Xenopus tropicalis: one gene and its partner. Each later gene encodes a partner of the first gene's protein in a complex. Links are inferred from orthologs where the notes say so. Each region holds a gene or a part of one and is shown on either strand. Other genes may lie near its edges.

What was found. Proteins that work in one complex are often made in the same cells at the same time.
Region 2: the proteins of dffb (region 1) and dffa are in contact, whole or in part, in an NMR structure (PDB 1F2R), measured with the Mus musculus proteins. The link is inferred for Xenopus tropicalis from reciprocal best matches to the Homo sapiens genes DFFB and DFFA. Residues at the interface, in NP_031885.3 of Mus musculus: Cys10, Lys12, Arg14, Ala19, Cys20, Lys21, Phe22, Gly23, Val24, Ala25, Ala26, Arg39; in NP_001020467.1 of Mus musculus: Asp66, Thr68, Ile69, Val70, Asp71, Asp72, Asp74, Tyr75, Trp94, Tyr96, Asp100.

What each region holds. Positions count from the first base shown.
Region 1 is NC_030683.2:96,870,731-96,874,742, reverse strand, and holds the start of dffb (DNA fragmentation factor subunit beta), read right to left. Parts: upstream 2,847-4,012; 5' UTR 2,843-2,846; coding exon 2,708-2,842; intron 1,164-2,707; coding exon 1,037-1,163; intron 455-1,036; coding exon 266-454; intron 1-265. UniProt on the Homo sapiens protein: Nuclease that induces DNA fragmentation and chromatin condensation during apoptosis. Degrades naked DNA and induces apoptotic morphology.
Region 2 is NC_030683.2:64,041,868-64,046,154, forward strand, and holds the start of dffa (DNA fragmentation factor subunit alpha), read right to left. Parts: upstream 2,801-4,287; 5' UTR 2,734-2,800; coding exon 2,637-2,733; intron 1,831-2,636; coding exon 1,669-1,830; intron 801-1,668; coding exon 649-800; intron 1-648. UniProt on the Homo sapiens protein: Inhibitor of the caspase-activated DNase (DFF40).

The DNA of each region.
Region 1 (4,012 bases):
CCAATGAATTATCACTTTTGGGTGGGGTTCTCTAAGACTGCAGAGAGTTAGCAACACATGGGCTGATTTTCACAATTTTGGCATTGAATTTCCATTATAGAGCAGCTGTATTATATCAAATGTGGTCCTGAATTTCAGCACTGACCTGGTGTCCCCTCAAAGGATTGGCAGTGCTTTCTTCATGCAGTGCTACATATTCTGTGACTCCTGACAGGGATAACTAACTGTATCTAAGTAGGCTGCATCAGAAAAGTCAGGATTTTACCTTCAAACCACGATTCATCATCTTTACGATTCTCTGCCAAGATATTTTCATTCAGGTTACTAATGAAATCTACAAGTAGCTTTTGTCTTTTGGGAGCATCCTCATCTGCCAACAATTTATGTGCTGCCTCCACAATACACGTCTGCCTTGCATAAAATGCATTTAGGAAGCGCTCAATGTCCGAAACATCTTTAGATAAGAAACAAATAACAAAGAAAGAAGAACACAGTGAGAAGATGCCAAATCAATGTGTGGCAATACAAAATGTAGCTTAGCAAACAATATAAACTGAAACAATTTCATGAAACCCTCAGCAGATCCCACTGTGATTGAGCCATTGGTCCAATTCCATTAGACGTTTCTTTCTATAATAAATATACATGTGTTCTTCCATTGCAGTCTCCTGTCACATAACTATGCTAGGAAAAAATACTCATAATTATATCCTACTGCCCAACTGAAAAGTGGTACTGTTGGAATTCTAGAAGAAAATATAATGCAACACAATATACAGAGAACCCTAAAGTTTTAAATTGTCCATTTGCCTAGTTATGTTAATGAAATTGAACATGGGGATGGCTTAACCCATTTCTTATTAGTCTGTTCCTTTGCAGTATAGGTAAATGGTAGTTGGTCACCCTTTCCTAGTAGCAGCATTTGGTCATACATGAGAATGGCCTAATTGAAAGCTGATCCCAAGTAAATTAAAAAGAATATGCAGAACTTATCATTTTCTGCTCATGCCCTAACATAGAGTAAAGCCTGACTTACAACCCTGCCATGTCTGCCCCGGAGTCAGCAACAAAAGCACTGTATTATCTGGCACCGTCTCCAAGTACTCTTCACTCACTTCTGTTCCATCCTCATACAAGCACACACAGGTCGTGGGACAATCCAGCTGGAAAATAAGACAACTATTTAGCATAACAATTAAGGATGTATCCAAGCATAAGGGACCCTAGCAACCACTGCTAACTTACTGTGAGCCCATATTATTATTGTTGTATTACTTTTTATTCAAGTCTGTCCTTAACCAAAAAAGCCACAATTAAAGAAAAAAATTAGGATCAACTGCAAATGATATTTGGACAACACAGACTAGTTAAGTGACATAAGCACACATGGGTACTGATTGCTTAGGATGCCCTGTACAAATATTTGTTGAAGGACAACAACAGGTTCAAGTGGTTATTTAAGGGATACTGCCTTACCATGCCTAGGAGCAGTCATTAGAGTTGGTCATTAGTTTTTGCCCTTTGCCACCCAGCACAGAACAGAGCCGTGTACAAAGCTGCCCAACTGCACCTGTTAACTAATAGCCACTACCATCCATTGTTTATGTTCTGCCATTTTAAAGGGCATTACCAGCCACTGTCAATAAAAAGCCCACTCTTTGCCATATACTGTATATACTCGAGTATAAGCCTAGTTTTTCAGCACCCAAAATGTGCTGAAAAAGTCACCCTCGGCTTATACTTGAGTCAGGTGCCATGGGTCCCTCCAGACTAGCACCCTCTGTCCTTTGTGTGCAAATTAGGCCACCTGCAACCAGACCCTCAAGTGCCCTGGCCCACTCCCACTAGCAATACTTATTTGCCCTTACGTGTTCTCCGGGACTGGGTCTGCTGCCAGTTTGCCAATGTGCAATGAGCGTGGGGTAGAACTCATATTGTTTTTGTTGACCCTCTTCTCCGCTTACAGAGCTAGTTTACTGTTTTTCTTTGAAATAAATATTAAAAAACATATACCCCACTGATGCCTCAATTAATGTCATTTTATTGGTATTTATTTTGATTACTGAAACTTAGCAGTAGCGGCTGCATTTCCCACCCTAGGCTTATACTCGAGTCAATAAGTTTTTCCAGTTCTCTTAGGTAAAATTAGGTACCTCGGCTTATATTCGGATCGGCTTATACTCGAGTATATACGGTACATTACTTACAATGTTCCAATAAAGGTTTTAATAAATCTAACTGCTTCAGCATCTGTCTGGCAGTTTATATGCTCTGCACTGCTGCTTCTGACTCCTGCTAATCAACAGACACAGAGGAAATTGGTTTGGGCTACATTGCTTTAATATTTAGAACCAGAGAAAATGAAGGCATAACAATAACAAATCCTGCTTTCGGTTGCAATCACATCTACAAATATCATTAAAAATCATTATAACCAAGTATAACCAAATGTATAATAAAAAGGTAAAAGTTACTTAGAATTACATTTCCTTTTATTGTGCAAAACAACAGTTTTGCCCTTAAAGTACCCAAACTAGAGCAAAATGAATAACCCAACAGAAGTCCCTTAGCAACCAACCGCTTGGGTACCAAAATAATGTCAATCCCATTCTCTCCCCTCAGGACCGAAACAGCGGGTGTGTGGGCAGCAGAGCCCATATCCCGGTGCCCTTACACATACAAACACTGAATGGCAGTCAGTAGCCACCTGAAACTTCCTGCATGCCTTCTGCTTTAGCTCTGCCAGGTTCTTGCAGGCAATTCCGTACTTCTGCTGGCTGTGCAATGTCCTGATTTTATAACACCGGATCTTTTTCTCGGTAGATGTACAATTACTGCCCATATTGCCGCACTTGTTACTAGTTACATTCATAGCATTTCCTGTTATTCTTATCGCTAAGAAGACAACGCATGCGCACTCGCCACATTCTGCTGCAGAACCTAGAACCTCGGCGAACTCCATATCCCAGAAGTCTTTGCGTTCGTCATTTCGCGCTTGCGCTGTGCTTAGGTTGTTGTCAAGCGGTGGTTATGGAGATGAAAATGGGAGAGAAGGATCAGGGGAACAGGGGCTGGAATTGTACAGCGCCTCTGGGACTCGGATGCTGATATTTTGGGCATCAGTAAAAAACTCAGGCGTTGTGTGGTGACAGGAAGCTCGCCCTGGAATAGAACCGGTGAAGTTGTTCTGCTGTGAGTAACTGTGCTTGAGCCTGGGGGGATTATTGCGCTGACCTAAAGGAGTTCCCAGCATTCGCCGCTTTCCTGTCTCATTGCGTCAAAGGGTTTAGAGCCCGGTAAGTGACTTGGGCAGAGGGGCTGACTTGCCTTCTCTACAGATAATTAACTGGTTTAATATCCCAGTGTGTTCCATGGGCAGCATTAGGATAACAGGGTGTGTTAGCTGCACATCACTTTTAATGCGCTAACACGTATGTATCTTTGCTTGGCTACTGGCCACCCCAGTTCCACACAGGGCTGCCCGGTATTGCCATTAATCTGTTCCCTTAGTTCAACTCATCACCTTTATTGTTATGTGAGAATAAGATTGGAGAAACTTCTTACATTCAATAAAGAATGTTTGTTCTTCCAGCATCTGCAGTGAAATTACATTGACCATGATGGTGCCTGGCAGTTATGTAATAATTTCAGCAAAAGTATTGGTTTTTCACATCTCCCCCCTTATAATACTCAGGATCCTTGAACATTCTGTAAATATAGCCTTATAAATGGAGCTCAGTGATGTCATCACTTATAATCAGTGCTCAGTGAAGTCATCAGCATCACATGACTGTCCAAAAGTTGTGTACTTTTAGAAATTATTTTGAATTCCATGACCTTATTCCTTTTATATGTTTTTTGAAATGCCTTGGTGACTTTTAATACCCTCATATTTTACAGTGGGGGGTAAATTATTACCTGTATAAATGGTGTTTAATGATGTCACTTAATTCACTGAAATAGGGGATTCCCAATAAAATTGGATTTTAGAAGTCAACCCTTGATTTTATTT
Region 2 (4,287 bases), about 33 Mb from region 1:
CATAGAATTCTTAATAATTAATAATTCTTAATAAAAGTTAGTGTAGGACCTAACTCTGCATGCACAGTAGAGTGAAGGCTCAACTTAGAAATGAAAAGTCAGCTTTTTCAGCCTAGTGCGCAATGCCTGCACCCTACAAAAGGAAGTGAGAAGAAGAAAGATTGTGCCAAATAACTTCTGCAGAAACACCCATGTCCAGTGCAGTTTTCTGCTAGCAAGAGCACCGGCCCAGGGTATCAAGTAAGCTATTACAATTATGAGGGGTGCCTAACATTTGCCCCCCCCCCCCCCCCCATGATTGAGACAGTGTCAAAATATCACTGAAATATAATAACCCCACCAGAGCTCAACAAGTAATTTTGTTTGGTAATAATACTTAATACTTTAATGCAAATGGGAGGATAGTCTATAGAAAATTTCCCCCAAGTGGCAAGTCCACAGAAATGGTTGGACAGTAAGTTTAATAATAACCAAAATAAGGTATTTGCCTGTAATATTTGTGAAGTGAATAAGAAATACCCCTGACATTAATTGTAACATTATTAGATTATAATGTAAATTGTTAGATTATAATGTAACAATCATCTTATATTTAAGAAACATTTTACAATATACTGTTTCATAGATGCTAACACTATGCTTAAATACCTGAAGTTCAGATTCTGACATAAGAATGATGTTAGACAGATCTTCTTTAAGCTGCAAAGCCAAGTTTTTCCATCTTGTTAAATCTGCACCATCAACCATATTCTCATCTTCTACCTCCATGGAATCCCTTGCTAACCATGCAGTTCCTCCATCTGGAACAGGAATGTTGCACAGTTAAACAGCTGCAAAATCTTTAACATTGGTCTTTGGAAACTTCTTGTGGAAATACTGAAAACAGCAACAGTGACCCCTTCTTGAATAGAAATGCTCTGTTAAAATTTATACAGGAAAGAGATGTCTCTTTACTTCGTATAAAGCACTCATGTTTCTTGTCTGATATTTTTCTGTCCTGGTTCAGCTTTTTTTTTTTACATTTTCTTAAAGAAAAAATATACCATCCATTTTGTAACCAACTTATTTAGTTGGGTTATGTAAACCAGGTGCACAAAACATCGTAATCATTAAAAATAATTTTAATAAATATTTTTTTTTTAATACATTAAGCCCTGCAGTTCATAAGAACCCATTTCCAACTGCCCACAGTGGGCACAGTGTAAGGAAGGATCACTGGGGTGCCTAATAACTTGGCACCCCATGTGATTCTAGTAGCATGCTTACTGCCCCTAGGTACTAACCCTAATGGTCTCCACTCTTTTGGTTGTAGCAAACTACACAATATAAATCTACTGTCCTACTTTTACTCCCACATTACTAGGAGAACAAAGTGATCCACTGTACATGCAATTTTTCGGCTTCCCCCACATATTTTATAAAATATAAGGCTGCAGGATTGTGATATAAGAAAACAAAGACAATTTCAGACTGCGGTGAGAATGAGCTAGAATTGCAAGACTGGATCAAAGCTGAATGCTACATGAATGAGAAGATACTTACGATACACAAGAAATAGCTGCGATAATTTTAAACATTAATTTAATATTTTCCAAAAATATTTTACTATGACAACAGTGTCCCTTTTAGGGCAGTCCAGTGTTTAAAATATAAAGAATGTAACTTTACCTAATGTTGTGGGAGCCCACTTCTTGTTGCCAGTCAAGATCACAAACTTTGTGTTAGGAGGTAAGCAGAGAAAGTAGTCTTCATCTTCAACAATTGTGCCATCCTCTGCAAGGACAAGTGTGATGGGCTCCACTGATGAGTCAAGAGAAAACTTCTTACATGCTAAAGAAGAAAAGTGTGATACTAGTAAACATGATGTGACATTAGAAACTGATTAAATAATGAATATTAAATATACTGATTCCTACCTAGTTTATTAAAATAATATATTATTATCAGATCATACTTATAAAGGGTCAACAAACTCTTCAGCGCTGAGTATTCCAAATACAGGTATGGGATCTACACCTTGCTCTGTTTTTGTGGGGTTTTTTTTGGTATATGTAATCTTTCTGTAATTTGAAGATTACAGAAACTATGGTATTGTTTTGCTATCAACAGACATATGCTAGCTTAGGTATTAAGTGCAGGTCCTGTTTAATTATTAGAGAAAATGCAAATACATAAAAATGAAGTATTGCTTGTATAAATAGGACTTTTTGGGAAAAGCCAGTGTCCTGCTTCAGACATTTTTGGATAACCAGTATCAAATTATGCACAGGATATTATGTAAGTAATTGTATTTTTCATATGACATATATAGAAGATTTGTTAATAAAATGCCTTGCTGTCAAAATAAATATCTTTGACAAAGAAAACAAAGACGCAGACTTAGTTGTAAAACAGTCATATCAATGTATTTCAGCATGAAAACGTCAAATTCCAACACTACTGCTATTTATAACTAGCCACATCATCGTTATATTTATAACATGTAATCACCACACTTTATCAATACCTACTATAATATGTGAAATATTGAGCTGTCATATACATATATAGGCAGGCAACTGTGGACATCACACTACACATTTGACATCACTACGCGCACCTCTGTTTCCAACTAAAAACACAACCCACGCTCACACCTTTCTCCAGAAGTTCCTCAAGAGAAGCCGCTGCTACGCCATGTCTGTCTTTGCTTCCTGGAAGGCTAACAACACAAGCTTTCTGAAAACTCGCCATCTCCCTAAGGAGGATTTGTTTGACGTTTTCTGCACTTGAACTCGCAGTCTAAGGAACTTCCGCATTCTAGCCGCGCGGTGCATATAGGGAAATGTAGTCTTACAATAGGAGATTCTCTAACATTTCTGGTGTGTGCCAGAGTCTGAATTAAGCATCGTTTTCTGCCTGTTTATAGCTGGAACTTTTTTGTTGTTTTTTAAGAAGTTGTTCTTAGAAAGTCTTTGATAAGTTGTGTAGTTAGGGGTACTATACACCCCTTTTCAACATGGGTTCAGCTTTGTGCTGAGTGTAACTTTTGCTTGCCTATTTTTGTATTTATTTATTTACTTAAGAAATATACATGCACTAAACAGAATGAAACCAATTTTACTTTCTAGCTTACTGTTAGGAAATAAACCATTTCTTGTTTCTACTGAGCAGATGAAAAGTTGATATTGTATGTATGTATAGCTTTATAAATCTGGTTTTCACCTTTAAATTAACCTTTAACAGTATAGTGTGGTGCTTATCTGATACAATTAGCAATGTTTTCATTTTTTTTTATATATGTCTTATATCACTGTTTGTTCAGAAGCTCTCCAGTTTGGAATCTCAGGAGCTATCTGGTTGCTAGGGTCCAAAATACCCTAGCAACCAAGCAGTGGTGTGGGTGAGAGATTGGAATATGAATAGGAGTAGCCTGAATAGGATAAGTAATAAAAGGTAACAATAACAATAAAACTGTAGCCTCACAGAGCAATAGTTTTTTTTTTTGCTTCTGGAGTAAGTGACCCCCATCTGTAAGACAGAAAGAGTCAAAAGAAAAATGCAAATAATTTGAAAACTATACAGAATAAGAAATGGAGACCAACTAAAAAGGTGCTAAAAATTGCTAATTTTGAAACATGCTAAAAGTGAACTTAAAACACAGCAATGCCAAAAAAATAAAGCAATTTAAAGTAATAAAAAATAAAATGTACTGTTGCCCTAAACCGGTAGAAGCTGTGTGGTTGCATTATAAAGACTACTATTGTTTATATAAACAAGCTGCTTTGTAGTCATATATAAGTTGGTAAACACTGCTAATTTTGACAAAGCTTTGCAGTATGGTAGTTGGAATGAAAAAAACAAATGTAACAATTTTGAGTACGGTATGTTACAATATTGTATGTATTTTCCAAAAATATATGGTTTCTTTGTATAATATTAGTGGCATATTGCAGTTTGTTAACTAGTAAGTATTCTGATATCTGAGCAGTGAAAATACTGTAGTGGAAGTTTTGTGACCCGTACAAGTCAGAAATCTCAATAAAATTATACTTATGTGTTATTTGTGCACTTGGGAGACTAGAGGCTTTCCAAATCTTGCATTTTCAAGAATATAATGCATTATATTTCTGAAATATGTTTCTATATTTGAAAACTATTTAATGCTTTCAGTTTTTAGGTAAATGTATAGCTTTTTTTTTGGAATTACAAAAAAATTTAAATTTAAGAAAGCTAAAGTTGTCCTGACAAAAGCAGTAGTGTTCCCAGGTAAACAAAGAAATCTTCTAGGCTCCTAAAAGCAGAAAA